Sus scrofa: one gene and its partners. The protein of the gene in region 1 binds, or shares a complex with, the protein of each later gene. Links are inferred from orthologs where the notes say so. Each region holds a gene or a part of one and is shown in the gene's direction. Other genes may lie near its edges. The genes, in order: ARVCF, SRSF1, PA2G4 and DDX5.

Region 1 (6,879 bases):
GGCTGCTTGAGGTGTGCGTGGGGCCAGGCCCATGCTCCACTCGCGGCCCCCAGGGCTGTTCACAGCCAAGGAGGCAGGAGCCAGGCCCCAGAGACTGTCCACCTGGGGACTGCTGTTCCTGGGGCAGCTGCGTCCTCGTGTCCAGGGAAACATGGAAGACAGCCATCCAGGCCTCAGCGTCAGAGCCACATTACAGTTCCCTGAGCCCCTAGTTTGGGCCTGATGGGCAGTGCTCAGCCAAGGGCAACCCCTGAACAGTGTCTGGCCTCCTGTGTACCCCCAGCTCCAGCTCTACCCAGTTTCTTCCCTGTCACCATCCCAGCCAGGGGGAGGCTAGGATCCTCACCTCCAGTCTGATGTGGAGGGCTCATCTCACCTCCACATGACCTGTGCTCTCCCCTCCCATCCTTGAGGCCCTGCAGAGACCTCACAAGCAATCCTGGGTCCCCATAGTCCTGCCTGCCTTTTTGGATACCACCCCACGACCCTGTGTGGTCCCAGTCTTGGGCAAGGAGGAGCCCTAAGCTGCCACTGGGGCAGGGGGAGTTAGGGGAGCCCGCCACCGCCCCCCCCCAGATGCCAGGCCAGGGCCCCTTCTGCAGCCTCAGCAGTGGTCAGGCCATTGCCTCCCCTCATCCACTGCCAGACTGCTGTAATTCACCAATAACCTTAACAGTGTGGCATCAGCATGTTCTGCAGATAAAACAAGACCCCAAAGCTGGGTGGGTGCCAGGGGCGTCTGGTAGGAGCCGGAGTCACAGGGCTTGCTCTTGATCACCCAGGAATGTAAGCTCAGACGGTGCAGAGGCGCGGCGGCGGCTCCGAGAGTGTGAGGGGCTGGTGGACGCACTGCTGCACGCCCTGCAGTCGGCTGTGGGCAGGAAGGACACAGACAACAAGGTGGGCAGCAGGGTGGCCCAGCAGGCCCCAGGCGGGCTCAGCCTCTCAACCTCCCACAAAGGGTGGGGAAGCGGAGTGGGAGCCCTAAGCTATCTGGGCGGCACAGAGGGGAATGGGTGTGTGGGTTTGGGGCAGCGCCCTGGGAGTGGGCACCTCGCAGTGGCCACACTGTGAGGCCTGGGACAGGGTCCTATGCCCAGTAGGTGCTCCCCTCACCCCCTTCCGGGGGTTATCACCTGACTGGGCCCCTAACTCAGGCTTCCCATTCTCTACATCTGCGGGCCCTTGTGTTCTCACTGGTTGTGTTCAGTCTTCCCTGGGGGCCAGCAGCCCCGTGCCGCCCGGCCCTGCCCCAGCAGCCCCCTCTCCCCGCAGTCGGTGGAGAACTGCGTGTGCATCGTGCGGAACCTGTCTTACCACGTGCACAAGGAGGTGCCTGGGGCCGACAGGTACCAGGAGGCCGAGCCTGGGCCCCCAGGTGGTGCTGTGGGCTCCCAGCGCCGGAGGAGGGATGACGCCGGCTGCTTTGGTGGCAAGAAGGCCAAAGGTGTGTGGGTGGGACTGGGGTGCCACTCTAGGACCCCCCAACCCCAGCACGCTGAAGGCTCTTCACACCCATGTGTGTGAGAGTCATGGTCTGGGAGCCAAGGAAGGGGTGCTGTCCCGGGGCCCCAGCTGCAGGCCACACTGCCTCCATCTGCACTGGTGTCTGGACACAGGCCCTCAGCTTTCCCAGCTTGGAAGGTACCAGGACGGTGCCACCTCCTGGTGCTGGCAGAGCACCTGAAGGCCCTGAGAGCTGTCCCAACCCCTGATGCCAACTCCACCACGGGAGCAGCTGCCAGTGCTCCCCAGCAGCTTGGGGGAAGGGGTGTCTGTGCACCACCTTCACCTATGCTCACTCCCCTCCCCGCCTTTCCTGATCCCTGTCCCACTGTGTGCACTTGGCCCTCAAAAGTAACCAGGGTGAGATTCCCTGTGCCCAGTGCCTTCCGGGAGGGCGTGGGGTGCTGCTCGCTCAGGTTCCTCTCCTCTCTCCTGTGCTTCCCCGGCTGCCCAGAAGAATGGTTCCATCAAGGTAAGTCCCTGTTGGTCCTGCCCTGCAGGCCTGATGGGCACAGTGGGCACCAGGGACCCCCCTGTTGTTCAGGCAGCCATCTCCATGACAACTGCAGCACCTTCCAGTGTTAGGAAAGCCCCATCCATCATGGTCCCTTCTCTGGGCAGCTGTCTCCATGACAACTGCCTGGACACGACAATGGCAGGAATGTCAGCCCTGGACTGGTTGGGAGGCTGAGTGGCTGGGCTGGGCCTGGAGCAGGAGCCCAGGGTGGACAGGACCTGGGTGTGTCCATCCCCAGGGGCGCCAGGGATTTGAGTCTGTCCCTCTGATGGTTTGGGGGGTGTGGCTCAGGCCCCAGGAGGTGGGGTGGGGCCCTTGATCATCCAAATTCAGCTCTGCCACCCAAGGAAGGGGAGGTCCATTATCTCAGAGGCTGGAAGGTGGTGAGCTGGCTCTCACAGAAGTATGCAGGCCAGTGTGACAGGTGTTAGGAGTTGCTGCTGCAGGGGCCTGAGGTGGGGGGCTTGCCTTGCCCCCAGCTCAACTTCACTGTGTGACCAGGAGTGTCCTGACCCTCCAAGCCCTTAGCTTCCCTGTCTGCACCTCCCAGTCCCAGCCTGGTCTTCTGAGCCCCTCAGTTCATGTACGTGGTGGCCATGGAGTGACCATTGGCAGGGTCTGCAGTGCAGCCCCCAGCTTCTGATGAGGGATGAGTCCTGGTTGCTCAGGCAGGGCTGGGGGCAAGGCAAGCCCCCAGGGCCCACTCCCATCCCTGGGCTTCCCTGCTGGCCTGAACTCAGAGGAGTGCTCTGTTCTAAGGGCCTCCAGGGCCCAGTCTTGAACATGGGGGCACTTCTGGGTCCTGAGTTGGAAAGTCTGTACTCACCTTTCCTGACACAGCTGCTCCATGTGGGGTCCCCTCACCTCTCACTGCCCTTCCGTTCCAGGGAAGAGGGATGGTGAGGTGGACCATAACTTTGACACCTTGGACCTACCCAAGAGGACTGAGGCTGCCAAAGGTGAGTGGGGGGAAGTGGAGTCCATGAGTTAAGCTTTGTGCCCCCAAGCAGGCCTGCAGGGCTGCCGAGATTCTGTGGGGAAACAGGCCCAGTGGTATGGGGTTCCCTGGAAAACACCCTGGTCACCAGCTGAGGGCTCAGAATCAGGGTCTCTGCACAGGTCACTTACAGCAGGATGTGGGGGCTGGGTCCCGTAGCACATGAGAGGCTGGCGGGGGTCCCATTGAAGGGTTGGGCTACCCGGGCAGGGTCTCCCCTGCAAGCTGAGTTCAGACTCACTCTGAGGGGTTCAGAGCCTAAGGGTACAGTCAGATTCATCCTTCTTGCCCTGTCTGTTGGAGTCATACTGTGTGTGGCAGTGTTCTGGGAATCCTGCCTGAGAGGTGTGCCTCTTGAGCCCAGATGTCCCCAAGCAGGGTAGAAGGACCCAGCCAAGGGAGCATCACAGGCTATGGGACCAGCTCATGCAAATGCCCTGGGGGTGCAGGGTGCAGTATGTGCTTGGAGCATCTGGTGAATAGGAAGCTGGAGTGCAAGGGGCATGGGATATGAGGACTGGGAGGTGGTGGCATGGGGGTGGGAGAAGGTGATGTCCCATGACACAGCCCCAGTATGGAGATAGGTTTGGATGGCTGTCCCACCCTCATCCCTGGAGTACCACTGCCAGGCTGAGGCCTCAGTGAAGAGTGACCAGGAGTGGTTGAGCATCTCTGATGTGGAGCCCCCCATAACCATATATGTAGGGGTGTTGCTAGGGAGTTGAGACCTGTTCCTAGGGGAGCCGCCTGGCTGCTGCTTCCCTCCCCACCCTAGGCTGCCTGCAGGCTCCAGCTGCCAGCCAGGTCCCATTTCTTTGGCAGTGGAGTCAGAGGAAGAGTGACCTCCCCCAAACTTACTGCTGCCTCAGAGCCTCTCTTGATACCCATGTGAAATGGGAAAGCTTTTCCTCCTGGGTGGCCATAGGGGTGAATATGTTGGTGCTAAATACTCTCTGATAGGGGGTGGGGGGCTGACTGACGGTGGGGTGCGGGTGGTCTGCGCCCAGGCTTTGAGCTGCTGTACCAGCCCGAGGTGGTGCGTCTCTACCTGTCCCTCCTGACGGAGAGCCGGAACTTCAACACCCTGGAGGCTGCAGCCGGTGCCCTGCAGAACCTCAGCGCTGGCAACTGGGTGGTGAGAGGCCGGGCCTGGCAGGGAGGGGCAGAGGGAATCCCAGGAGGCTTCCGGGTGAAGGCGGGCGCACAGCACGGCTTTGTCCGGCGAGGGAGAAGGACTGTTAGCTGGAGGTAGCGGCCAGGGCTCAGGTAGGCAAGTGTCCGCATGCGGCGCGGCCGCGCTGAGCACACCCCCGCTGCCCCACCGCAGTGGGCCACGTACATCCGCGCCACGGTGCGCAAGGAGCGCGGGCTGCCAGTGCTGGTGGAGCTGCTGCAGTCGGACACTGACAAGGTGGTGCGCGCCGTTGCTATCGCCCTGCGCAACCTCTCGCTGGACCGGCGCAACAAGGACCTCATCGGTGAGGACAGGGACTGGAGTCTAGGGTCCGGACCCCCTCCGTACTCCTCGCGCCCCCCTCCCGCCTGCACTGGCGCGCCCTCACCGCCCTGCCCGCAGGGAGCTACGCCATGGCAGAGCTGGTGCGAAATGTGCGCAGCGCGCAGGCCCCTGCGCTGCCGGGAGCCCGCCTGGAGGAGGACACAGTGGTGGCCGTGCTCAACACCATTCACGAAATCGTGTCCGACAGTCTGGATAACGCGCGCTCGCTGCTGCAGGCCCGTGGTGTGCCCGCGCTCGTGGCACTGGGCTCGGCCAGGTGGGTAGGGGAGTGGCGGGGGTCAGGGCTGGTCCCCCAGATAGGCGGGGCGGGGCCAGACGCTGACCCCGCCCCGGTCGCAGCCAATCCGCGCGGGAGGCGAAGGCCGCGTCCCACGTGCTGCAGACCGTGTGGAGTTACAAGGAGCTGCGTGGTGCCCTGCAGAGGGATGGCTGGACCAAGGCGCGCTTCCAGGTGAGGCCGCTGGCCCTTCCTCTCTCATTTTGCCCGGATGGGTCCCTCACGGGAGCACCGCTGACCCACTCTGTTTATGTATTACACCACTGCAGTCGACCGCTGCTAATGCTAAGGGGCCCAAGGCAGCTCCGAGCCCCGGAGGCTTGGACGACAGCACGCTGCCGCTGGTGGATAAGAGCCTCGGTGAGCACCGGGCAGGGCCCATCCCCAGGTTCAGGAGTACCTGCCCACCTGGCAGAGGCAGGGAGGGAAGTGGGTCCCCTCCAGGAAGATGGCCCCGCCCCCGCCCCTCCCCCTCCCGTCCTCCATTCTCTCTATGATGGCATCAAGCTGGGGGTAACAGTGCCAGCAGACAGAGGCCTAGCAGAGTGGTGTAAAGATGTTAGTGATAAAAGGTACCCAGGGTGGCAGAGGCCACCGGTAGTCCCCCACTTGCAACCAACCAGCCACCTGCCTGTGCTTTGCAGATGGTGGCGAGAAGCCAGGCAGCCGGGACATGATCCCCATGGAGGCACTTAGTTCGGGTGAGTGCAGGTGCTGGTGTGCTGTTTGTTTACCACGTGGCAAGGTGGGTTTGGAAAAGAGATCTGGTTTAGAGGTGCTCAGGAGTGAGGGCTGGGGCAGCCAGTTATGGTCACTGCCCAGATGTGCCCAGTCAGCCAGCTGAAGGGCGGCTGGAGAGTTCTGAGCCACTGTGGGGGAGTAAGCGAGAGGCTTCAAGGCCCCACTGTGAGAAGGCCTGATTCAGAGTGGGCAGTTGGAGGGCCTCTCCAGATGCACCCAGGCCCAGGGCCCCTTGCACCAGGACATTGGTTTCTTGGTGCCTGCTCCAGAGTTCCCTTCCTGCCTACACCCTGCAGATGGGTACTCCACCGTTGACCGGAGGGAGCGGAGAGCTCGAGGCAGTGACCCTACAGGGGAGGCCTCTGAAAAGGAACCGTTGAAAGTAAGTGGCTGTGGGCAGGTGTCCAGGGATTGCCTTGGGCCCGGGGTGGGACTCACTTGCAGGCCGGCCACTGGGCCAAGAGACTGGTTCAGGGAGTGGCCCTTCTGTCTCAGCAACCTCCCATTGGAGCCAGCCTGCGGGTGCAAGTGGTTGGAAGCTCATAGCCACTGGGAGAGAGGAGGCACAGGACAGAGGGCTGTTGGGGGAGCCTGAGCAAGCGTGTCTGCATCCCTCCCTGCATGCGTGTGCGTGCGATGGCCTGCATGGCCTCGCCTCCAGGGCAGCCCTTGATGCCTGCTCTGCGCCAATGCTTTGGGCACAGGACTCTTCTCAGCCACACTCACTCAGCAGCTCTGAGCCACACTTGCTCAGCTCCCTTTGCCCCCAGCCCTGCCCACTGACCACTCAGCCCCCACCAGCCAGCCCTGACTAACCTGCCTTGTTCTGCTTCTAATGCTCTCCTGCCCACTGCCTGTCTGCTGCAGCCCAACCCCACCAGGAAGGTTCCTCCTCTGGGGCCCAGCAGGCCCGCGGTCAGGCTGGTGGACGCCGTGGGGGATGCTAAGCCTCAGCCCGTTGACTCCTGGGTCTAGTTTGCATGCCGGGTACGTTTGTCTGACCTCCACCCACCCGACCTTGCCTATCCAGGCAGGACCTCACCTCGCTGGCTGTCTGCTCTATTCTCCCCGCGCGCTCCCCGCAGGCTGGCCTTGAGCTCAGCGGTCCTGTAAAGCCACGGGAGGGATGAAGGGCCAGAGTCTAAGAGGGAGGAGCTATCGGGTCCCGGAGGGCATGGGGCCAGATGGGGCAGGGGGTGGGGTCCCTCCACACCTTCGAACGCCCCAAGCACGGTCCCATCCTCGAGGACCTGCAAGTTGGGGGGCAGCTGCCCACGTCTGTCCACACCTCCATTCGCTCCACTTCCCGGTTCGCTCAGCCC
Region 2 (8,021 bases), on another chromosome or scaffold:
GCCTGGGAACCAGCCCCAAAAAAGACAAAAAAAAAAAAAAGAAAAAGAAAAAGAACTGCCTCACCCCGCCCCCAGCCCCAAACAAATGAACAAATGGTTTGGATATTTGTTGTCTTGCTTTTTACTCTTGTGGACCAAAACATGCCAGTCTGGGACACTGACAGTAGAAGATCACACCCTTAAATGTAATCATTTTCAGCTAATGTCATCCTAGGAGATCTGATAAACAGCCGCCCAGACTTTTCCTGCTAGCTCCTGACCTTGTCATAGACCCTAGAACCTATAATTTGGTGACATTCAAATAAAATAAGAGAAGCTGATAGAGAAATAAGAATGTCCTATTCACTGTATACTAAATTCTACCCGCATACCTGAACAAAATCAGAAATGGCTGCATTAAATTGGACAAGAATAAATCGAAGCAAATTCATAGTTTTCTTATTTTTCTGGAATGAAGATGCCTTGAAATTATAAGCACTTATGTTTAAACTACTTTGGTTTATCAACTTAATATTAATCAACAGAAGACAAATCTGAATAACAACAAGTGAATGGAGAAAGTTAGAACAGAAAGAAACTGTGCTCAGTAAACCTACTGAATGTAAGAACCAACACATTGTACACCTGCAATTAAAAAAAAAAAAACCTCTCATCTCTTCTGCTACTAACCAAATAGGACTAAATAAATTTGTTGAAATAGTGTCCCTTTTAGTCAGCTTCTCATTTTAAAAATTATCAGTGTCTTCTTTTAAATTGAAAGTTTGGTTTAAAAATATATCATTGAGGAGTTCCTGTTGTAGCTCAGCAGGTTAAGAATCCGACTTGGGAGTTCCTGTCGTGGCACAGTGGTTAACGAATCCGACTAGGAACTATGAGGTTGCGGGTTCGGTAGCTGCCCTTGCTCAGTGGGTTAAGGATCCGGCGTTGCCGTGAGCTGTGGTGTAGGTTGCAGACGCGGCTCGGATCCCGAGTTGCTGTGGCTCTGGCATAGGCCAGTGGCTACAGCTCCGATTCGACCCCTAGCCTGGGAACCTCCATACGCTGTGGGAGCGGCCCAAGAAACAGCAAAAAGACAAAAAAAAAAAAAAAAAAAAAAGAATCCGACTAGTATCCATGAGGAGGCGAGTTCGATCCCCAACCTTGCTCAGTGGGTTAAGGACCCAGCGTTGCCGCAAGCTGTGGCATAGGTCACAGATGCAGCTCAGATCCTGCATTGCTGTGGCTGTGGTGTAGGCTGGCAGCTGCAGCTCTGATTTTAACCCTAGCCTGGAATCTTCCACATGCCGCAGGAAGAAAAAAAATATCTATCATTGGAGGATGATCTAAAAGACAAAAAAACTGTGCGATACCCAGTTTTGAAAACCATCAGATTTCAAGGACTACTACTAAAGATCTTCTGTGAATCTGTTGAGCAGCAAATTAAATTTGCATTTTGGGATTACTGAGAACACTGTTAAAATACATGCAATCGCCTTTTAGAACTGAAAACATGACCTTCTGAAAAATCTTTTTAAGGCACTTTGGATCTTGAATATACTGTTTCCTTCTTTACTGTGACTGCCATGATGACTAGGGTCAAATTTGTAATCCATCTTTAGAACTCACAAATTTTTACTGCAGCCATTTTGTGTATTAACTTTATCCATGACTTCATTTTAATTTCCCCTTATATTCTCCGTGATTTCTCCATTCAATTGCAATAACGTTTTCTGGTATCTCTGTAAACAGCATCACATCACTGGGGAGAGGGATTGATGCGAATAAATAAAAATGAAGAAAATCATCCTCTCAATCAGGGTGCAGACCTGTTTCAGCATATTTATGACAGGGTTTTTTTTTTAATTTGAATTCACCATTAATATTTTAAAATCCCAGTATTTCATATAAAAATCCAGATTTCAGATGGCTCCGTGGCAAAATGTAACAAGTTCTTATCTCCCTGGACCAACATGCTGGCGAGATGAGTCCTTAAGCCGCCACTTCGGTCTCCAGTGGTCACAGAAATCCTCACACATCCACTTTGCTCATTCATATTACCTGAGAGATTTGCTAATGAGTTCCAAAAAAGGAAGGAACGTCAGGATTCTGCAATACAAACAGGAGGGCGCGCGTCTTTTTCGTTCTTTGAAAGACGTTGTAGAAATAACAGACACAATTCATTCTGCAAACCTTCACTGGACCTCTCCGCTGCGCTGGGCCCTGGCGATAGGTGATTTAAAAAAGAAGCAGAGGTCTGGGTCCTGGTTGGCTGATGCCGCCAGGAATTACCGCCACGAGCACAAGGAGCGTTGAACTGAGGTCAGTTCTGAACCGAAGGTGGAACGGTACTTAGCGTAGAATATTTATTAAAGCGTCTCAGCCAGGTTCCCCTGCATTAGACAGTCGTCCAAGCAGTCCACGGCCCGTTCGCAGATGGGGCGGGAAGACAAAGTCACGTCTCGGCTCCGCGTTGATTCACCCGCAACGCGACTCCTGAACGAGGTGCACTCTCCAAGGATGCCCGTGTTTCCGGAGCAACCGCCTGGTCCCTCCCCCTTTGACTCCGCCCCCGGCAGTCTTTCCCGCCAAAGGCCGTTAACAGCGCAGAGCATGGTGGGACCTAGCTTTAGGCTAGGTTTCACCAAATACTTTCAAGACGCCGTTTTTTTGAGAGAAACATTCCTGAGGAAACTGCTGATTCTTTAGGATTCGACAGAGATTAATAACCCCTTTTACGAGAGCTCTATATTTAATTTTGCCACAAGGCTGGTCACTCCCTTATTAAACCCCTCGACAAATCGGGAAGGCGGGAACTTTTTTCCCTTCGCGCGGAGGGTGACGTCGCGCTTGCGCGAGCGTCACTCTCGCAGCACCCGTTACGCTCTTGCGCGTGCGTAGTGAGATCGAATAGCTGCTTCCTCCCGCTTCTCTTCCTCCCTCCCCCCCATATCCGTGCGCCGAGCTGATAAAGGCGCCATTTTGGAGGGGCCGCGGGAGACGTGGTGTCGCTGCGGGCTCGCTCTCCCGCTCGCTAGGCTTGGTGGGAAGGCCTGTTCTCGAGTCCGCGCTTTTCGTCGCCGCCATGTCGGGAGGTGGTGTGATCCGTGGCCCGGCAGGGAACAACGATTGCCGCATCTACGTGGGTAACTTACCTCCAGACATCCGAACCAAGGACATTGAGGACGTGTTCTACAAATACGGTGCTATCCGCGACATCGACCTGAAGAATCGCCGCGGAGGACCGCCCTTCGCCTTCGTTGAGTTCGAGGACCCGCGGTGAGGCGGCCAGGGGCTTGCGGCCTTGAGGAAATAGGTTGGAGTAGTTGGGGAAGGCTCCGGGGCCTTCACTTGGGGAATGGGGCGGTGGGTTCTTGGGTTGGGGGCCAGACGATATCGCCCATGCAGGAGTCGAGTAAGGAGCCGAGTCGGCGTGGCTCCTCTGGTGGCCGGGCCCCACGGACGTCCCTAGAGCCGACTCGCAGGCTCGGAGCGGGAAACTGAGGCGCCGAGGGCTGCTGGAGTGGTCGGGAGCCTGGCGTGCTTCTGGGTGGGGGAGGGGCCGTTCCTATTATGCGGCGCATGTGGGCTCTTCCACCCCGGTGCGCATGTGCGGGGGCCCGCTCGCTCCCCGGCGGAGTGAGCCGCCCCTCCTGGCCCTTTTTTTTTTTTTTTCTTCTTTTCCTTACCCCTTGGCTTTCTCTGGTCACGCAGAGACGCAGAAGACGCGGTGTATGGTCGCGACGGCTATGATTACGATGGATACCGTCTGCGGGTGGAGTTTCCTCGAAGCGGCCGTGGTACCGGCCGAGGCGGCGGCGGGGGTGGTGGCGGCGGGGCTCCCCGAGGGCGCTATGGCCCCCCATCCAGGCGTTCTGAAAACAGAGTGGTTGTCTCTGGTGAGTTGGCGGGTCCGTGCGGATTGATGATAAGGGGACCGCACACCGTTTTGAAGTTTTTCTTGGTGTTTTCATGCCAGGTCTTCACTTAAACCGGAGTGCCTTGGGTGACTTTAGTTAACAAGGACTACTCTATTTGAGACTTAGCGAATTAGGTTGCAGTACCTAGAAGATAAGAAGAGCCTTAACTTTACAAATAATTTTGGACTCTTGATTCCGAACTCTTTTAACAGCTCGTTAAACGGGATGTTAAAGACCGTTGGTTTTAAGTCTTGTTTTAATGTAACCTTTATGTTTAATGTGAAACTTAGGATAATTGGTATTGAAAGAAAACGCACTTTTTCAGGACTGCCTCCAAGTGGAAGCTGGCAGGATTTGAAGGATCACATGCGTGAAGCAGGTGATGTATGTTATGCTGATGTTTACCGAGATGGCACTGGTGTCGTGGAGTTTGTACGGAAAGAAGATATGACCTATGCAGTTCGAAAACTGGATAACACTAAGTTTAGATCTCATGAGGTAGGTTATATTCTTTTCCTTGGCCAGAATTGGATACAGTGGTCTTAACAGTGGAATTTGAAGGTAAGATTCAGGCAAGGGTGTCCAAGTAAAAACCCAGTAAAGTGCCAGATTTCTGGTTTGAGTTACGTTGATTCATTCAGCATGCCTGAAGACAGGTGAAAGCTTAGATCTTTCAATCGAAAGTTCTGTCTATCCAATAGGGAGAAACTGCCTACATCCGGGTTAAAGTTGATGGGCCCAGAAGTCCAAGTTATGGAAGATCTCGATCTCGAAGCCGTAGTCGTAGCAGAAGCCGTAGCAGAAGCAACAGCAGGAGTCGCAGTTATTCCCCAAGGAGAAGCAGAGGATCACCACGCTATTCTCCCCGTCATAGCAGATCTCGCTCTCGTACATAAGATGATTGGTGACACTTTTTTGTAGAACCCATGTTGTATACAGTTTTCCTTTATTCAGTACAATCTTTTCATTTTTTAATTCAAAACTGTTTTTGTTCAGAGTGGGCTAAAGTGTTGAATTGCATTCTTGTGTAATATCCCCTTGCTCCTAACATCTACATTCCCCTCATGTCTGATAAATTGTATTTTAAGTGATGTCATAGACAGGATTGTTTAAATTTAGTTAACTCTCCATGCTCTTCAGACTGTGATACTGTGTAAATGTCTATTCTGCTCTGGTTTGTGTGAACTGGGATGTTGGGGGTGTTGGTGGTTATCTTACCTGGGGAAGTTCTTATGTTTATCTTGCTTTTCATGTGTCTTTCTGTAGACATATCTGAAGAGATGGATTAAGAATGCTTTGGATTAAGGATTGTGGAGCACATTTCAATCATTTTAGGATTGTCAAAAGGAGGATTGAGGAGGATCAGATCAATAATGGAGGCAATGGTATGACTCCAAGTGCTATTGTCACAGATGAAATTGGCAGTATTGACCTTATACTAAAAGGCAAGGGTTTAAAGTGATTATATACATCTATCTTAAAACACTTGAAAACATTTTATGCAGTTATATTTGGCTACAATTGCTTTACTCTTTAAAACTCTGGCAATTGTGGCAAAATTACATGGCCCATTTTGTAACAATTTGTTTTGCTCCCTTCCCTTTTTTGTTTTATTAGGGACTAATGTGGGAAGAACTGATTAATTTGTCACAGTGCTTAGTTACAACTGTTAATGTGTGACCTGCTGTTGGTGTACTTGTGGGTACAGGGTGTCTTTAATTCCAACCAGATAGAGTATAATATCAATACTGCTAAATCTGCATGTCCTCTGTGTGACTGATATAATAGCGTTGCTACTTCATTTTTTTAAGACAAAATGAAAGCAAAATAATAGAATTCCAATTTATTGGTGTAGATAATCTAGTTGGGAATACTTTTTAAGTCTCACGTTCCCCTTTAATATTCATAATTGACTCATGTTTAAAACACTTTAATTTACAAATTAAATTGCAGTTGGGAGCATTAGATTTAGTTTAGACTTAGGTGGGTAGCAATACCAGTAAACTTTTAAACTACATAACTTTTTGCAACCACAAAACCTGTAATACGCTGTACAGTAACAAGTGTTGGCATTATCAGTTGAACTGTAAATATAAAATGCTTCTTCCAGTTAGTCTCTATGATGATTAAGTTTCTAAAATTTATCTGAACACCATTCAGAAACTTGTTTTGGGGAATTTGATAGTTATTGATGTACATCTGTTAAACTGATGACAGACATAACTCATCATTCCCCAGAAACCTTTTTTGATTACAGTATCTAACATTTTGCCTCCTCTTTTTTGGTTTTGCTGGTTATAAAGGTTTGGATTGGAGAGGGCTCACTGGATCCCAATCCTTGGAGCTGGATCATTGGATTCAAATCATAATGTGGATAGGATAGGGAGGATGAATTACAAGGATTCATGGAGCGGGATCAGATTACCAGGAACATAGGAGTGGATTCCTGCCCCAACCAAACCGCATTCGTGTGGATTTTTTTTTTTTTTTTTTTTTTATTCAACTTAATTGGCTATTCCAAAGATTTTTTTTTTTTTCCTATTTTTGACGATTGGAGCCCTTAAGATGCACGATGGAATTGTGTTTTGCATTTTTGGTAAAAGGAGCAAAGCGAGGACCTGGAGATAAACGCTGGAGCAATCTCCTTGGAAGGATTCAGCACGAGTAGATGGTAAACATTTAAAGGGGAAAGGGGGGGTTTGTTTAAAATAGTAAATCAGTAAGTCACTTCTAAATTTAAAGAAAACAAAATTGGAGTTGAAGAATAAGTAGGTTTCCAATTGGCTATTGCCATTTTTCTTTGAAAAAAATAAACATTTTTTAAAAAACTATGCATGGTTGTCCTTTTTCCTCTTGTAAGATTTTTTTTTACTGAGTGACTTAACTAGTCTCACTTTAAATTTATAAGATACTGATTCTCGTGTTTATGTGTTAGTAAATTAAAGGTTCTTTGAAGTTTTCTAATAAATGCTATTAGCCACTGTTAATTCTTGTAAAAGTCTTCAGGGGACGATAAGGTGAGAATACACCAACTGTATGTAATGGTAACTGAGGGGGGGGTCATCTAGTCTCTGAAAAATAAGCTTCCAGTATTTTAATTAAAAAGTGATTAAGGAGTTCCCGTTGTGGCTCAGTGGTTAACAAATATGACTAGGAGCCATGAGGTTGCAGGTTCGATCCCTGGCCTCACTCAGTGGGTTAGGGATCCAGCATTGCTGTGATCTGTGGTGTAGTGTAGTTCACAGATGCGGCTCGGATCTGGTGTGGCTGTGGCATAGGCCGGTGGCTACAGCTCTGATTAGACCCCTAGCCTGGGAACCTCCATGTGCTGTGGGTGCAGCCCTAGAAAAGAAAAAAAAGATTAAAAGTTTATAGATGGCTGCTTATGTTTAGTGATCGTATAGGCAGCATAGGGTTTTGTGCAAAATTTGGTGATGACTAGGTGACTAGTGTTGCACTTAGACTTTGAGTTTCAAACTCATCTGAAAAATTGGTAAGTATTAAATACTAAATTCAGCACAGATTAGAATTGTTAAATAACATTTTCTTTTTGAGATGTGAATAGCACACTAGAAGGTTAGCTGTATGTTTGAGCGAATCATTGTTAATACAAAGCTGGTCGTTCTTTAGAATTTTACCTTGAAAGTCTTCTCAACCATGGAAGTTATTCTTGTATCCAAAACAGCAAAGCAGTGATTATATCTTTGTAGTCTACTAGTTTTTGTATCTTTACTTGATGGCCTCTTGGTGCTAAATCTTCAACTTAGAGTTGGAGGAGGAGATTTTTATTTAGAATTTCTGCTTTTTTTTTTCTTCTGATTTCCTGACAGCTAGTCACACCCATCAAACCACTCTTATTTTTGCACCCAAAAGATAGCTATATTGTAAAACCTTCCTTGGGTATTAATTATAGTTGGCAGCAGAATTAAAGATGGCTATTCAGGTGACAATTTCAAACCTAGGAAACTAGGAATAATTTTGGTAGTAGAGGAAATGGACCCAAGGAGTTGCATAGTCACCCAACATATTTAAATGAACCTTGTGGAATGTTAGGAAGAAGAGGGATAAGTACAAAATTAGGAGTCCATTAAAATATTTAAAGCACTTGGTATAGATTCATTGAGA
Region 3 (7,786 bases), on another chromosome or scaffold:
TTTCTCTACTCCTCCTTCTGCAGGCTCCCCTTAATCCTTTTGTCTTCGTTCATCATATCCCTCCCTATTCATTTTTTTCCTAACCGCCCCCAACCCCATTGCCTCTTTCCATGGAGTTCTCCACATACTTAGCTGCTCTTCTCAACCCCCCAGGTACCTCCTCCCGGGAAGGCACCCTTTCTTCAGTCGGTCTCAGTTCTGTCCTGGGGACCGAGGAAGAAGAAGAAGATGAGGAGTATGAATACATGAACCGGAGGAGAAGGTGCAGTCCAGCTCGTCCCCCAAGGCCAAGTTCCCTCGAGGAGCTGGGTTATGAGTACATGGATGTGGGATCAGACCTCAGTGCTTCCCTGGGCAGCACACAGAGTTGCCCACTCAACCCTGTGCCCACCATGCCCAATGCCAGCACAACTCCAGATGAGGACTATGAATATATGAATCGGCGACGTGGTGGAGGGGGTCCTGGGGGGGATTATGCAGCCATGGAGGCCTGCCCAGCAGCTGAGCAAGGGTATGAAGAAATGAGAGCTTTCCAGGGGCCTGGACACCATGGCCCTCAGGTCCATTATGCCCGCCTCAAAACTCTACGTAGTTTAGAAGCCACTGACTCCGCCTTTGATAACCCGGATTACTGGCATAGCAGGCTTTTCCCCAAGGCTAATGCCCAGAGAACATAACCTCTGCTTCCTGAATACCTCAGGGAGCATTTGATGGCAGCTAGTGCCTCTAGAGGGTACCCCTCTTCTCTTTAGCCCCTCTCCCTCACAGGTCTCAGCGCCATTTCCCTAGTCCCAGACAATTCCATTCAAACTTTGGAGGCCTTAAACGTGTTGACACAACGTTCTTGTGGTATATAGCCAGCTGTGCACTTTCTTCTCTTTCCCAATCCCAGGAAAGGAGATAGTTTTCCTTATTTTGTGCTCTTTCCCAATCCTATTCCTCAACTTTCTCAGGGGAACTCCCTGGAGATATGAAGGATTCCTCCCCATATCCCTTTCTCTCAGACTCTGACTTGTTGAGACTAGGCTTTAAAGTGTGACTTTGTTTCCCAGCAGACTTTTAAGGAAGAGGAAAGGAGGGAAAATGGCAGGAGAAAGTGAGATTTTTGGCTTATGATTCTTAACCCCCTAGAAAGAATGAGATGCTTAAAAATCTTGTGAAGAAAGAGGTTGGGAGTATATAGTAATGATTACTGTTCATTGAACGTTGACTGTGTGCCAAGTATCATCTAAACTTACCCATCTCACTTAATCCTTGACACCAATTCTGTGAGCTAGGCATTATCCCATTTTACAAATAAGGAAACTGAGCCTTAAGGAGATTAAGTAAATCAAGTAGCAGGTCCAGGATTCAAAATTTTCCAATGCACCATGCTCTTAGTGTAAGGTGTCAAAGAAAACTGATGAAAGTCAGAGCACTAGTAAGAGGTATTGTCTTCTTGTGTTTGCACTGAATCAAGTCTAACCCCAATATCCACAGCCTCCTCCTACACCTGGACTGCTCATCTCAGCAAGTGGGAGTAAGGGGGTGGACAGAAGGAAAAATAACTGGACATCTCTGTGTAAACCGTAATCTTCGTGTGCTACATATGATATCTGCCTAAGGGACAGACTCAGACGGTCCCCAGAGCCATTTTTTAGGAGCAGTTCTCATTCAGTAGTGGGAAGCTTCCAGTGGAGATGAAAAAGAGGACCCGGCTTCAGACCTCAGTTCCTTTGAATGGGAAACTGGGAGTATCTGTTTTTATCCCTCAAGTTTTTGTTTTGTTTTTATACATGTCTGAATAAAGATGCCAAGGTTTTGCAGCTTCTTGTCTAACGACAAACTTTAGTGAGTGGACAGATCAGCCCTTTTCTCCGTTCCACAGCAGAGAATGGCTACCATGGCATGCTTCCTTCTCTGTCTCCCCACAGTCCTACTTGGCCCCCTGTAGCTTTCTCCAGCCCCACTTTCCTTATAGTCTCTTTAGACAAGCAAAGGGTACAGTCCTTTTCATTTAAGCGTTTTACTAGGAATCTGTATAGGGCAACCGACTAACTGGGAGTAACAAAACAACCAAACAAAACACGTTTGGGGCAGTTAGAAAAGGCCCCAAGAGGTAGAATACTGAAACTCTCAAACGTTTCACAACTTTAAAAAAAAGTGTCCGTCTTAGGTGCCATCAAAGCCTGTTGTTGGAACAATAGTGCCATCTTCAGAGGGAGCCGGCCTCTAGACTTGGAAGGCTGTACATGGATAATCCCACAGAAATCTGGTGCCCAGTTAGTCCCTGCTCCACGCACTCCGGGTCTCCTTCCACACTCGCTCTGCCCCTCCCAGCACCTGAGGACGATCGGACTGGCCAGGCCGGTCCGCCTGCCGCTCCAGGGATCCGAGGAAGGGCGTACCCAGCCTCCCCGCCCTTGATACAATCACCCCCACTCGTCTCTGCTCCACCCTGCCCCGCAGCCTCCAAACCCACGTCCCCGCCGTAGCTCCGCCCCCTTCTCCCTTAGCCCGCCTCCCTCTATTACGGGTTCTCGCTCAGCGCTCCTGGTGGATATGGTTTTTCCGGGAGAGACCACGCTTCCCCTCATGCTCTCCAACGGCTCCGCCTTCCCGCCGGAGCCTGACCCTTCCCAGCGTGCTTGGCGATTCCGGCGTGCGAGGCCCTCGGAGGGCAAGGCCCCAGGGCCTGGCTTAGGGGCGCGAAAGGCAGGCTGGGAATTGTAGTTCGCGAGTCCGCGAGGGCAGCTAGAGGCTGGCGGCGGGAGGGACTCGTTGTCCCAGCATGCCCTGCGCATCAGCCCGCGCGCTCGCAGTTTCTCGCTCTCGCCCGCCCGCTCCCTAGCTTGCTCGCGCTTTTGCTCGCGCTCTCCTCGCGGATCGAAGGGGCTCTGGCCACAGCCTGTGGTTGGGAAGGGCGACAGAGGCAGCGGCTCAGGAGAAACGAGGCTGCGGTGGTGGTGGTGGGAAGATGTCGGGCGAGGACGAGCAACAGGAGCAGACTATCGCCGAGGACCTGGTCGTGACCAAGTATAAGATGGGGGGCGACATCGCCAACCGTGAGTGCGGCCTCGGGGGTCCGGAGATCGAGGCTGGGAGGGAGAGGCAAGGGGGACGGTGCTTGACGAGCCGGTGAGGGGCTGGAGCGGTGGGGTCATGCAGAGTGGGCTAGTGAGGGCCCCCCGCGGGTCTGCTGGGTTTGGCGTGGTGGGAAGGCTCGTTATCGCGTTTGGGACCTGAGCGGCTAGGCCTGGGCTGGAGTCTGTGAAGATGCAGGCGGGTGGCAGGGAAGAGCGCAGAGCGGGGCCCCGGCTGGCTCCGACCCTAGGCCCTTGGTAAGGAGGCAGGGCGTATGTCCTGCTCTTCATCCTTCTGTCTGGATCTCTGCCTCTGATTTTGGCAGCAGGGAGGCCACCTCGGAAACGAAACGCTCCTCTATTTTGTCGCTGCTCCCCGCCGTCAGGAGCCTAGCCGGCACGTGTTGCCGGGTCCCCAGCGGATCGCCGGCTCCCTTCCTCCGCTACAGTCCCTGACACTAGCTTCCCTACCACGTGCTTTGCTGTAGTCTTTCGTTCTTTACTTCAGCTCCCTCCCTGGAGGGGGCCGCCTTCTACTCTTGGGCCAGCTCAGGGACCGTTGGAGGGTACCCCTGGAGAACCCCTAACATAACTCTTGGAGACGTATCTGGTTGTTCTTGAAGTTATCATCTCCAATCTGCGCAGATAGCTTTAGTTAGTTGTCAAATTTGATTGCTCTCAGGGGTTTGACAGCTCTAGGAGTGTTTTGAGGTTCTTTTCACCCCAACCAGGCAAACCTGTGTAGAGCACTGGTAAAGGGGAGACTGACTTTATAGGATCTCGGAAGTTATCCTTATGGGGGCTCGCTCAGACTTCTCAGCAGCTGCCTGCCACTCTAGGCAGATGTCTCACTTTCTCTTTTCTCTCTTTGCGATTTAAAACCCAGTTAGGGGACAGAAGATGCTTGTCTTTGGGCTTTTAAATGGTTTTGACAGTAAAGATAGGTATTTAGGATGCCTTTGATCCTATGGCTAAAAACCTGAGTTTTTCAAACTTCCAAAAAATCCCCAAAACTTGGATCACAAAAATCAAACCTATAGTTCACTTTGGGCCTTGGAGAGGATATCCAGTGAACAGAACAATGCTTTATAACATAATGGACATTTAGTGGTTTGAAAACAGAAAAACTTTTTTTTCCTCTTGCAGTTTATAACTTCTGAGGCACTTGGGATTCCAGATACCAGTTGGAAACTCTTTTGGGTCACATACCTCATTGAGATCTGCTAAAAGCTATAAGCCCAAGCTTGCTGAAGCCCAGAGACCTTAGGTTAAGTCTCCTTGACTTGTTATATAAAGAAATAAGTCTACATATTGAGATTACTAACACTTAATTGGGGTGTCTGGGAAGGGAAGAAGGTAGCATTTAACAATGCATCAGCTTCGGGTCAGCAATTCTATGTCTGCCCTCCTGTTGTCCCTGACGCCTATAAATTTCCCCCAGTCTGCTTTGCCAGTGTGTTGGATACCTTGCTGAGAACCTCCTTGAAGTTCATGACTCTGTCCTGCACACCTCAGCTATCATCTTGGGAAAGTCTGCCTTGCCTAGGGAGACAGACAGTGCATACAGTGTCACCAGTTGTCACAATGTATAAGGAAGTGTTGGCTCTTTTTAGGAAAGGAAGGTAGCAATTTAGAGATGGATAGGTAAGTACATTCCAAGAGGCACAACTTTTTTTTTTTTTTTTTTTTTTTTTTGTCTTTTTGCCTTTTCCAGGGCCACTCCCTCGGCATATGGAGATTCCCAGGCTAGGGGTCGAATCAGAGCTGTAGCCACCGACCGGCCTACACCAGGGCTACAGCAATGTGGGATCCGAGCTGCGTCTGCAACCTACACCGCAGCTCACGGCAACGCCAGATCCTTAGCCCACTGAGCAAGGGCAGGGATCGAACCCGCAACCTCATGGTTCCTAGTCGGATTCGTTAACCACTGCGCCACCATGGGAACTCCCAAGAGGCACAACTTGTTCTCTCTTTCATCCTTAAAGCAATGGCACCAGGAAATGTTTAGCTTTGAGGTATTGCTTAGATGGTAACTTAGACAACACTTGCAGGACTGATCCAATGGGATTCTGTTCCCAGGGGTACTTCGGTCTTTGGTGGAAGCTTCCTGTTCAGGTGTGTCGGTACTGAGCCTGTGCGAGAAAGGGGATGCCATGATAATGGAAGAGACAGGGAAAATTTTCAAGAAAGAAAAAGAAATGAAGAAAGGTAAAAATAATCCCCCACTAATTTCCTGCATTTGACCCTTATTCAGTCCTGTTTGTTTTATTATAATGATGCACCCCCAGCTCCAGCACTGGTTGAGATATTTGGAATGATAAGGGGGATTCAAGCAGTTTCCCATCTAATCCAAACTGATTAAACTTAGGCAAGACCCTGATGAAAATTCTTTCATCTTTCTGAGGGGCAGCAGGCCTCTAAGAGAGCACGCAAGGCAATAAGGCTGATTGTCTCTTTACAGGTATTGCCTTTCCCACCAGCATTTCAGTAAATAACTGTGTATGTCACTTCTCCCCTTTGAAGAGCGACCAGGACTATATTCTCAAGGAAGGTGACTTGGTAAAAATGTAAGCTTAAGCCATTTCAGAGCACTTGTCTTTGTCCTAAGCATTCACAGTAGTGCCGGTTGCTAATGCTCTTCTCTGCTCTTGTCTTTCAGTGACCTTGGGGTCCACGTGGATGGCTTCATCGCTAATGTGGCTCACACTTTTGTGGTTGATGTAGCTCTGGTAAGTGAACTGCTTCTCTCCTGACCACTGGCTGCCCTTACGTAAGGGTACATAGATATTACCTGAATGACCAGCTGAGTTAAAGACTGGTCCAGGAAGGCACTGACTGCATTTCCTTATCTACAGGGAACCCAAGTAACAGGGCGGAAAGCAGATGTCATTAAGGCAGCTCACCTTTGTGCTGAGGCTGCCCTACGCCTTGTTAAACCTGGAAACCAGGTAAGCTGTTTTAGTCCAATTCCAAAGGCTGATAGAGCCAGGGGTGCATGAGGCATCTGCATGTAGCTATTCTGTATTGAACTGCCAACTTCTCTTACAGCCTCCTTCTAAAACAAACTTTTTTTTTTGCTTTTTAGGGCCGCATCCGTGGCATATGGAGTTTATATATTCCCAGGCTAGGGGTCCAATCGGAGCTTTAGCCGCCGGCCTATGCCACAGCTCACAGCAACACCGGATCCTCAATCCACTGAACGAGGCCAGGGACCAAACCCACAACTTCATGGTTCCTAGTTGGATTCATTTCTGCTGCACCACGATGGGAACTCCCCAACAACTTTTTTTAAAATCAGCTACATTTTAGGTTGGGATTTCTAAAAGAGAAGAGGCAGGAACAAAGAGCTTAATACCAAACAATTTAACTCTGAGTGCCTGCCTTAGATGGATGCATGGTTTCATGCTGGGTGTAAGGGGATATGTGGCCCCTTCCTCATGGAGCCCATAGAGATCCTTCTCTTTTCATGTTTTGGTTGTGCATCTTTCCCCCAAATAATTCGAGATTGATAGCATACAATAAAACATATGTAGAAACTCAATTTTAGAAGCTCATAAAACAAGATTCATGATAGTATCAATAAACCAGTGGCAAAGAGAGGCCGGAGGCCCTCGCGTGACAATATTAGGAAGCTCAGGGATCACCCTTCTCATGAATTTGGTGTGTTACCAGTGGAGACGTTTCTCTAACACTTACGCTTCCAGAGACCTATTTAATACTTAGAGCATCCTCTTTCTTTTTTTCTCTTTTTGTTGCTCCTTTTCTATGCTCTTGTTTGTTTTTGGTACTTTTCATCGATTTGTCCCCATTGTTACTTAATTGCATCATTTGAACTTAAATCTCTGTTGTAGCTTTCCTATATTGATACCTAATTCATAGAGCTGTTATAGAGCACTTTGAACGGTGCCTTCCACATAGTGAATGTTGTGTTAGCTATGATTTTACACATTATTTCCTCATCTGTCTGTAAAATGGAAAAAATTTAACTTATCCCTCATTCTCACAGGGTTGTGAGTACTGAGATGATCCACATAAAGTGATTATCACAGTATCTGGCGTATAGTTTAATAATAGCTGTGATTGATAATTTACTTTTCTTTTGAATGGTAGTTTAGGTGAGGATCAGATCATATTTGAAAGAGATAAGAAGGGGAAAATAAGAGCTAGGTAGGTTAAAATGCCATGCCTAATGGACTAACCACCGGACTATTGTCAGAAAACCTAGGTTTATACCAGATTCTTTCAGTTAACTGGTTGAACCCTGGGCAAGTCATTTAGCCTTTCTGAACATCAGTTTCCTCTAGGTTGTGATAGAGACCTGCTCTGTTCATCTTCCAGGATTGTTGTCTAAGTAGACCATCTTCGTGAAAGCGCTTTGTAAAATGGTACACAAATGTGATTTCTAGGTTGTAGGGCTATGAAATGGAAAACCAATGAGAACTGTATTTTTTTGTTGTTGTATTGTCTTTTTAGGGCTGCACCCACAACATATGGAGATTCCCAGGCTAAGGATTGAATCAGAGCTGTAGCCACCAGCCTTCACCACAGCCACAGCCACAGCCACGTCAGATGCACGCCTCGTCTGCGACCTACACCACAGCTCACGACAGTGCTGGATCCTTAACCCCCTGAGTGAGGCCAGGGATCGAACCTGCACCCTCATGGATGCTCATCAGATTTGTTTCTTCTGAGCCACAACAGGAACTCCTGAGAATTGTATCTTC
Region 4 (8,018 bases), on another chromosome or scaffold:
GGGACACCAAGGGACACAAAGGATGCAGGTTTGATTCCCAGCCCAGCACAGTGGGTTAAGGATCCAGCATTACTGTAGCTGCTGCCTGGGTCACGACTGCGGCTCAGATCTGATCCCTGGCCTAGGAACTCCATATGCTGCCGGGTGGCCAAAAAAAAAGCTGATCTAATAACTACATGCCTCTGAGCTATAAAGAGAACTGAGACTAATGAGAAAGATATCAAAAAAAAAAAGAAAGAAAGAAAGAAAGATACCAGTTAGAGGCCATCCCATTACTCCAAAAAGTGAGGAGAGCACCATAACACAGGGAAAATAAGAGAAACTATACAGAGCTTTAGTGCTTAATGGTTATAAATTATATAAAGATACAGTGGCAGCAAAGGAACCTATGGATAAGACGGAGATATCTAACCAAGGACACAGTGCTAACAATTCTTACCCACAACACTGGTTAAATACCAAGACAACAACTTCCAAGTTCCACTCAATTTTAGAACCTATGAAGATACATTTACAGAAAAGGTGTGACTTTCACAGAACATTAGGCATGATTATTAAACAGTGGATGACCAAGGCTGTTGTTATAGATGGTTAGCATAGGTATTAAAACAATGAATGCCTATAATTAGATATAACTAAGATGCACACAAAGAGAAAGCTTAAGATTTTATATATGCTACAGGACATAACTAAAAGCACCGGAAACTTCCAGCCTCTGATACAGATACTATTACTCCCAATTTTTTAGTACCCTTACCTGGTACCTTTTCTCCCAAAATGGATTGATAAAGAGCAATAAAAACATTAGCATCACAATCTTCTAGTTCTCTAATCCTCAGGTGTATGTGACATTTCAAGAGAAGATTATTGGCAACAGTTACCCAATCTGTTGGGAAAGGAAGGGAAAAGATCAGCCTAACTGCAAAGAGTATATACGTTTATTTAAAAAACCTCACAAAAGCAGACATTGTATTCTACAGAAAATAAGAAATTCGATTGTTAGAGAATCTCAGACTGTCCTAGGCATGATTTTTTTTAAATGTATTTAATTTTTTGGGATGATTTACAAAATGCTATAATTTCAATGTTGTCGAAACTATCATGCAGGAATTCTCATTGTGGCTTGCTGGTAACAAACCTACCAGCATTCATGGGGACCTGGGTTCAATTCCTGGCCTCACTCAATGGATTAAGGATCCAGCATTGCCCTGAGCTGTGGTATAGGTTGGGGATGAGGCTCAGATGCTGTGTTGCTGTGGCTGTGGTGTAGGCCAGCAGCTGCTGCTCTGATTTGACCCCTACCAGGGAATGTCAATAAGCTACAGGTGCAGCTCTAAAAAGCAAAAAAAAAAAAAAAAGGCAAACAAAAAACCCACAAAACTATGATGCAAACTCAATTTTTACTGTTCCAAACTAAAATCTCAAATTACTCTACACCTTATTTTAGAAGCTATACGTAGATTTTTATTTAAAATATATTTACAAGAAGTCAGGAACATTATCTCATATACGAAAGGTCACCAGAAACTAATTAATAGATGTTGCTTCAAAATCCCAATAGCATTAGTCATGATGTTACCCAATTATCTTGCCCAAGTTGGAATTTCTCTGGTGCCCAAATAAGTGGTGATTAACTGAGGCTGTTAAGAACTGGAGTAATGACACCAACACTACTGCAGTTTTTAATTTTTTAAATTATATTTTGTGCACATGAAAAGAAATATGGTAAATACACAAAAACGTCTCTACATTCAAAATTAGCACATTACCAATACTGCTGAAGTTTCCTGCTGTCACCCTCCCTACCCTAGATACTGATAAGATGAGCAAAGTTATTTCAAGAGTTTGTCGGCCAAAGGAAACTTAGAAAAACCTGAAACAATTTGCAATTGACGGGAACGTTCTTTTATTCTGTGTGCGTTCTCTTAAGTATGTTCTAGAAACAAGTGCGAGTTTCCGTGTGAAAGCGTCTTCAAGGCATGTTATCTCCCTCTCCCAAAGTTCAGTACTCACAGCTGACCAAACCATGACAACAGGTTTGAACGCTGTCTTGGAGAAAAGGATGAAAGCGTCCTAGACAACCAAATCAATTCGCCTTTCAAAAGCGGTACTAGACAAAGCGAATGAGTCTAGAGATCACAGAAGAGTGAAGTCCACCACGGTTCTGCTATTGGCCGGGGGCATCAACAGATCTTAAAGAGGGCCGGTCCTCCAATGTTCAAATAAAGATGCAGGTACTAGCTACCTCAGTCCTCGCAATGCAAGAACTGCAGGCACAGTGAGTGGGTGGATTCCCCAGAAAAATACGAGTCCGGGGAAGCTACGCGACTGCCCTTTTCGCAGCCAGGTTGCGTGCGCTACGGGCCTCACCGCAAGGGCCCTTCTAACCCACCCCCAAAACCGCACCCCACAACCCGGAAAGAGCCAGGGAGCGGGGATGAGACCCTACCCAGAGAGCCCGCCAACTATCACGGGGTGTCACCAGCCCCGCCGGCCGCCCAAACCCGCCCGAGGCCTCAAGGTAAAAGTGGCAGGGACGTTAGGGGATTTAGAGAGGACGACTTCGTCCACACACACCGGAGCGACAGGCCGAGACTCACCAGCCTCTGAGCCGGCCATGTCGAGAAGGCAGGCCGCTGTCGGACTCTTGGCCCGGTGCGCGCGGGACGGAGCTCAGGGAGGGCCGCACGCCGCAGACCCAGTGCTGACAGGAGGGGGAAGCAAACGAAAGTGCCGGGAAGGAGGGATTAAAAAGGGAGGGACGTTAAAACCGCTTCTCGTTGCTGATTGGTCACCACAGGACCACTTCCTTTCGCAGCACGCGCTGGGGCGGCGGTTTGCGAGCTCTAAATACCATTCTCCGCCGACCAGATCCCGCTAAGGAGTTCTCAGGTGGGTGGGTTTAACAGCCCCGCGGGTCAACCAGCCGACCTGGCCGGTCTCCCCGGGCAATAGCACTGCACTTCCGGCGAGCGATTTCGTTTTGTACTCCTCCGCCGACGCCATCTGGAAAAGTAGTGCGGCCCGCTCACCCGGTGGGCGGGGGGGGAGTCACGTGACAATGTCAGGCTCCGCCTACCCGTCTCGCCGGGTTGTGGGCGTGAGGGCCCTTTGGAGACGTAAACATTTCCAAGAGAACCAAGTGGCTTGGTCTGGGTGGGCCATTTCATTGTTCGTGCTGGACCTGAAAAAGGGCGGGGCGACTTCCTTGAAGTGTGGAAGACAAGGAAAAGGTGAAGTCAAGAGAGTAAAAACTGAGGCTTCCCAGTAGTGGGTGGATGGACCCACCCTTGAAAGGAGTGAAAAACGGGAGGGATGGTTTGGGTGGGGGGAGGAGAAGGAGGGGCGAGAACATGGCGGATTTCGGAACGCCCGCGGGCGGTGCGGCCTCGGCGCAGGGGCGGGGTGATTAGGTCATAGAGCAGCTCCCAGCGTTCTCTGCGGCGGAGGAGGCGGTCCAGGCTATAAAACCGGCTGCCGGGACGCGGCCGGCACCTCATTCATTTCCACCGGTCTCTTGTCGGGCAGCTTGGGCTCCTGTCATCGCCGTCCCTCCGCCGCTGCCGCCCCCGCAAGGCTTCGCCGTCGTCGAAGCCACCTCCAGCGACTTGTCGCACCCGATTCTCTGTGCTTTGTTTCCCGCCAACCGCAACCATTGACGCCATGTCGAGTTATTCAAGTGACCGAGACCGCGGCCGGGATCGAGGGTGAGTGTGGGAACTGACCTGTCAGGCCCTGTGGGTGGGGGATGGGATGCCGATGCGGGGGGGCGGGGTGGCGACGGGAATTCGGCTTCCTCAGCCTATGTTTGGGCCTCGTCCCTCAAAGGCTTGCGCCATTTTGATATTTTTGAAACTGCCTGGGAGTTTCATGTTAATGGTTCTCGAGATCTCTTCTTTTGTCTGGGATGGGGCATCGCGGCCTCGATGATTTATCAGCTCTTGGGAGAATTCCAAGGAGCGTATTTCGAAGGGAGGGGAGCGCAGCGCTTCGAGGCGGACGAAATCGCTGCTGTTAGGTGCAACCTTTCGGAAGGTGTTTTGGGGGCCCCAGGAATTTTGTGGGTGGCGAGGGGGCCGTCTCCGATGCCGTTATTGCGGCGGGGGCAGGACGGTGACCGGCACCGCGGGAATCGGCCATGTGGCTGAGCCGCGGGTACAAAATGCCGGCATCGGACATGGCGGCGGCGCCTTTGTTACCCCGCCCGGCGGAGGAGCTCAAAATGGCAGCGTCGAGAAAATGTGGCGCAGAGAGAAATGCGAGACAAAGGGGGAAGCGCCGCCCCAGCGGGAACGCCGCCCGGCCGACTCCGCCCGGCAGGGACTCCTCCCCCGGTAGTCTCCAACGCCTCCTTTTCTTTTTCCTTACGTTTATATAATTTTGCTACCTTGATCGCGGTCCTTTCTGGGGCATCTCTCCAAGTCATTCGGCTTGCGTAAGTGTCCGCGAGATAACCCACCTTTTTCTGCTCTGTGTGCTGTTCCGTTATCTATTAAAATCAAAGCTCCTTTGCTTGAGAACAGCTGGTAGATAACATCGCTGTTAGGCTTATCCTTTCTTGTCTTTCTCTCAGATATTTAGTTTTTAAGTTCATGGGAGAGATTAGTAGCCCCAACTATTGACGCTCCTTGTAATCTGAACTTCTGGCATTCGGGCAGCCACTTTCCGACCTGTGAAATCCCGGGCTGATGATTTGGGTTCAATGGCGTGTACTTGGTACAACGGGAAATGAAAAGGATGCGGTGCTAATTGTGGCTTTTGAGAGAATGACCGTCTGTTCCACCTGGAAGTCTTTGATATTTAGCATGTGCCAAGGGGTGGTTAATATGTCTGTACGTGTTCGAAGATGTGACTTTTTAATTTCAGGTTTGGTGCGCCTCGATTTGGAGGAAGTAGGGCAGGGCCCTTATCTGGAAAGAAGTTTGGAAACCCTGGGGAGAAACTGGTTAAAAAGAAGTGGAATCTTGATGAGCTGCCCAAATTTGAGAAGAATTTTTATCAAGAACACCCTGATTTGGCTAGGCGAACAGCAGTAAGTAATTTCATGTGGTTTCTTCAGGCTGTAATTCAATAATTAATAACTTTGCAGTGAATCAAAATCTGACTAGAAGTTCCCTGCACATAACTAAGTTTTGGGGAACTCATGCTGAGTAAGTAAGGATCTTACTTACTTTGGGGAAGAGGAGTTACTACTCACTTTTGGAGACAAGTGACTTTTTCTACTTAAAATGGTTGGGTGTAACGTAATAAGTGGTTTTTGTTTGTTTAGGGTTTTTATATGGATCCAAATTTTAAAAGGCCATCTTAAAGTAGTTAAGTCAATTATGAATTTAGGAGCTTATTGGTTGCATTTTCAGTTAAGGGGAGTTGTCATGAGAAGACAACTGGATTTTTGTAATTTGTTTTGTAGCAAGAGGTAGAGACATACAGAAGAAGCAAGGAAATTACAGTTAGAGGTCACAACTGCCCAAAGCCAGTTCTGAATTTTTATGAAGCAAACTTTCCTGGTAAGTGCTAGTTTTCCCTACCTTAAAAAAAAATTCTTTCTCTCGGCATTTCTAATTTTAACTTACTTGTTTATGATTACAGCAAACGTAATGGATGTGATTGCGAGGCAGAACTTTACTGAACCCACTGCTATTCAAGCTCAGGGATGGCCTGTTGCTCTAAGTGGATTGGATATGGTTGGGGTAGCACAAACTGGATCTGGGAAAACATTATCTGTAAGTTGGGCAACTTGTAATTCTGTGTCGAGTGATTGAGGAAATGGGTTGGAAGTTAAAAGAAACCAGAAATATTTTAATGTGTAACTTCTGTTTGCCCCTTCTCTGAACAGTATTTGCTCCCTGCTATTGTCCACATCAATCATCAGCCATTCCTAGAGAGAGGTGATGGACCTATTGTAAGTATACCTTAAGCTTTGTTTAAAAGTACAGAGATTTGTCCAGTAGAAAGCAAATGACAATTTGTGGTGATTTTAAGTGGAGACGTTAGCTGTTTTGTACCATTTATCTGGAAACAAATCTGCTCTAGGTATTGGACAGCAAAATAAGTCATGTGCTGCTGTAACACTGATATATCATCACTTCAAAAGTAGACTCCGGAACTCTGCTGAAAGGTATTCATTCCACTTTCTCTTTTCTTAGTGCTTGGTGCTGGCACCAACTCGAGAACTGGCCCAACAGGTACAGCAAGTAGCTGCTGAATACTGTAGAGCGTGTCGCTTGAAGTCCACCTGCATCTACGGTGGTGCTCCTAAGGGACCACAGATACGTGATTTGGAGAGAGGTACAAAACAGAAAGTGTTTGATTTGTCACTGGTGGTGCTAAAATTCTAGATGTCTTGGTTACATTTTTGTGTTTAAAGGTGTGGAAATCTGTATCGCGACACCTGGAAGACTGATTGACTTTTTAGAATGTGGGAAAACCAATCTAAGACGGACCACCTACCTTGTCCTTGATGAAGCAGATAGAATGCTGGATATGGGATTCGAACCCCAAATAAGGAAAATTGTGGATCAGATAAGAGTAAGTACTCTTTAAATGTGTCTATCTTTTCAAACTTTGCTCTAAATTTATTCTTAGAATACAAGGCTTTTTCTTTATTCCAAAAATCTTTAGCCTGATAGGCAAACCCTCATGTGGAGTGCTACTTGGCCAAAAGAAGTAAGACAGCTCGCTGAAGATTTCCTGAAAGACTATATTCATATAAACATTGGTGCACTAGAACTGAGTGCAAATCACAACATTCTTCAGATTGTGGATGTGTGTCATGATGTGGAAAAGGATGAAAAGTAAGTCAGTCTTAATAACTCTAAAAACAACTTTATTGTACAAATTGAGTCATGCATTTATAGGTTACCTTAAACATGACTTTCAGTCATACTGGAATCTGGCTGTTGAAATTGGTCTATTCATTGTTCTGAAAATTGTTTTGCTTCCTTTGTTCATGTAATTGGTTGTCATCATGTTTCTATCATCTATAGAAAAAAAGATCTGTCTTAACAGGGGCAAGACCAAGGATAGACTGTTTATACGTTTAAGCAGGTGTTTGACTTGTAGCCATATGAGTTGAAGTTAGTGTTTTGCTGACTATAACTTAGAATTCACAATTTTTTGTTTCTTTAAAGACTTATTCGCCTAATGGAAGAGATCATGAGTGAGAAGGAAAATAAAACCATTGTTTTTGTTGAAACCAAAAGAAGATGTGATGAACTTACTAGGAAAATGAGGAGAGATGGGTATGTGGGCTTCCTCCATTGAAGCAGATGTATTAATAAGAGCTGAGTTTAGGGGGAGGGCAGAAACTTTAGTAACGTTAGACTTGAGGTGGGTTGTTTTTTTGTTTTGGTTTTTTTTCCTTTTCTGTTTTGTTTTTTGTGTTTTTAGGGCTGCACCTGCAGCAGCATATGGAAGTTCCCAGGCTGGGGGTTGAACCCGAGCTGTAGCTGCTGGTTTACACCATAGCCACAGCAATGCAGGATCTGAGCTGTGTCTATGACTTAGACCACAGCTCATGGCATTGCCAGATTCTAACCCACTGAAAGAGTCCAGGGATTGAACCTGCGTCGTCATGGATTCTAATGCAGTTCATTACTCCTGAGCCATGAAGGGAGCTCCTGATGGATTTTGACTTTCATCAATGGGGATAATCTGATGGTATAAATGAGAGCGTAGATACATTATTTGAAATTAAAAGGATCTTTGACCAAAAATGTTTATGTGCTTAATTAAATTCTGACAGTTAGACTTTGATGTTTAAATGTGAGTGTATTAATACAACTTCTCTTTAATTTAGGTGGCCTGCCATGGGTATCCATGGTGACAAAAGTCAACAGGAACGTGACTGGGTTCTAAATGGTAAGTATTTCAAGTGAAAGGTTCCCCACCACCACCAGAACCTAAATTCCATTTTGGTCAGTTATTTTCGTGTGTGTGTGTGTGTGTGTGTGTGTGTATATATATATATATATATATATATATATATATACTTTTTTTTTTTTTTTGGCAGAATTCAA

The links.
Region 2: ARVCF (region 1) and SRSF1 share a complex: the UniProt entries of both Homo sapiens proteins name them as parts of the ribonucleoprotein complex. The link is inferred for Sus scrofa from reciprocal best matches to the Homo sapiens genes ARVCF and SRSF1.
Region 3: ARVCF (region 1) and PA2G4 share a complex: the UniProt entries of both Homo sapiens proteins name them as parts of the ribonucleoprotein complex. The link is inferred for Sus scrofa from reciprocal best matches to the Homo sapiens genes ARVCF and PA2G4.
Region 4: ARVCF (region 1) and DDX5 share a complex: the UniProt entries of both Homo sapiens proteins name them as parts of the ribonucleoprotein complex. The link is inferred for Sus scrofa from reciprocal best matches to the Homo sapiens genes ARVCF and DDX5.

What each region holds. Positions count from the first base shown.
Region 1 is NC_010456.5:51,404,617-51,411,495, reverse strand, and holds part of ARVCF (armadillo repeat protein deleted in velo-cardio-facial syndrome), read left to right. Parts: coding exon 1-11; intron 12-782; coding exon 783-900; intron 901-1,275; coding exon 1,276-1,447; intron 1,448-1,960; coding exon 1,961-1,978; intron 1,979-2,910; coding exon 2,911-2,982; intron 2,983-4,027; coding exon 4,028-4,155; intron 4,156-4,347; coding exon 4,348-4,498; intron 4,499-4,596; coding exon 4,597-4,795; intron 4,796-4,878; coding exon 4,879-4,990; intron 4,991-5,085; coding exon 5,086-5,176; intron 5,177-5,460; coding exon 5,461-5,517; intron 5,518-5,853; coding exon 5,854-5,939; intron 5,940-6,424; coding exon 6,425-6,532; 3' UTR 6,533-6,544; intron 6,545-6,879. UniProt on the Homo sapiens protein: Contributes to the regulation of alternative splicing of pre-mRNAs.
Region 2 is NC_010454.4:34,277,069-34,285,089, reverse strand, and holds SRSF1 (serine/arginine-rich splicing factor 1), read left to right. Parts: upstream 1-2,971; 5' UTR 2,972-3,061; coding exon 3,062-3,255; exon of another isoform or gene 3,256-3,682; intron 3,683-3,690; coding exon 3,691-3,875; intron 3,876-4,221; coding exon 4,222-4,394; intron 4,395-4,597; coding exon 4,598-4,792; 3' UTR 4,793-6,725; downstream 6,726-8,021. UniProt on the Homo sapiens protein: Plays a role in preventing exon skipping, ensuring the accuracy of splicing and regulating alternative splicing.
Region 3 is NC_010447.5:21,493,236-21,501,021, forward strand, and holds the start of PA2G4 (proliferation-associated protein 2G4), read left to right. Parts: upstream 1-2,761; 5' UTR 2,762-2,956; coding exon 2,957-3,044; intron 3,045-4,208; exon of another isoform or gene 4,209-4,329; intron 4,330-5,141; coding exon 5,142-5,270; intron 5,271-5,523; coding exon 5,524-5,629; intron 5,630-5,721; coding exon 5,722-5,791; intron 5,792-5,917; coding exon 5,918-6,010; intron 6,011-7,786. Other genes in the region: ERBB3 (receptor tyrosine-protein kinase erbB-3), read left to right, coding at 154-677. UniProt on the Homo sapiens protein: May play a role in a ERBB3-regulated signal transduction pathway. Seems be involved in growth regulation. Acts a corepressor of the androgen receptor (AR) and is regulated by the ERBB3 ligand neuregulin-1/heregulin (HRG).
Region 4 is NC_010454.4:14,568,894-14,576,911, forward strand, and holds the start of DDX5 (probable ATP-dependent RNA helicase DDX5), read left to right. Parts: upstream 1-3,837; 5' UTR 3,838-4,256; coding exon 4,257-4,435; intron 4,436-4,866; coding exon 4,867-5,032; intron 5,033-5,410; coding exon 5,411-5,507; intron 5,508-5,589; coding exon 5,590-5,723; intron 5,724-5,836; coding exon 5,837-5,902; intron 5,903-6,146; coding exon 6,147-6,288; intron 6,289-6,367; coding exon 6,368-6,528; intron 6,529-6,621; coding exon 6,622-6,794; intron 6,795-7,130; coding exon 7,131-7,241; intron 7,242-7,798; coding exon 7,799-7,860; intron 7,861-8,011; coding exon 8,012-8,018. Other genes in the region: CEP95 (centrosomal protein of 95 kDa), read right to left, coding at 758-886, 2,601-2,619. UniProt on the Homo sapiens protein: Involved in the alternative regulation of pre-mRNA splicing; its RNA helicase activity is necessary for increasing tau exon 10 inclusion and occurs in a RBM4-dependent manner. Binds to the tau pre-mRNA in the stem-loop region downstream of exon 10.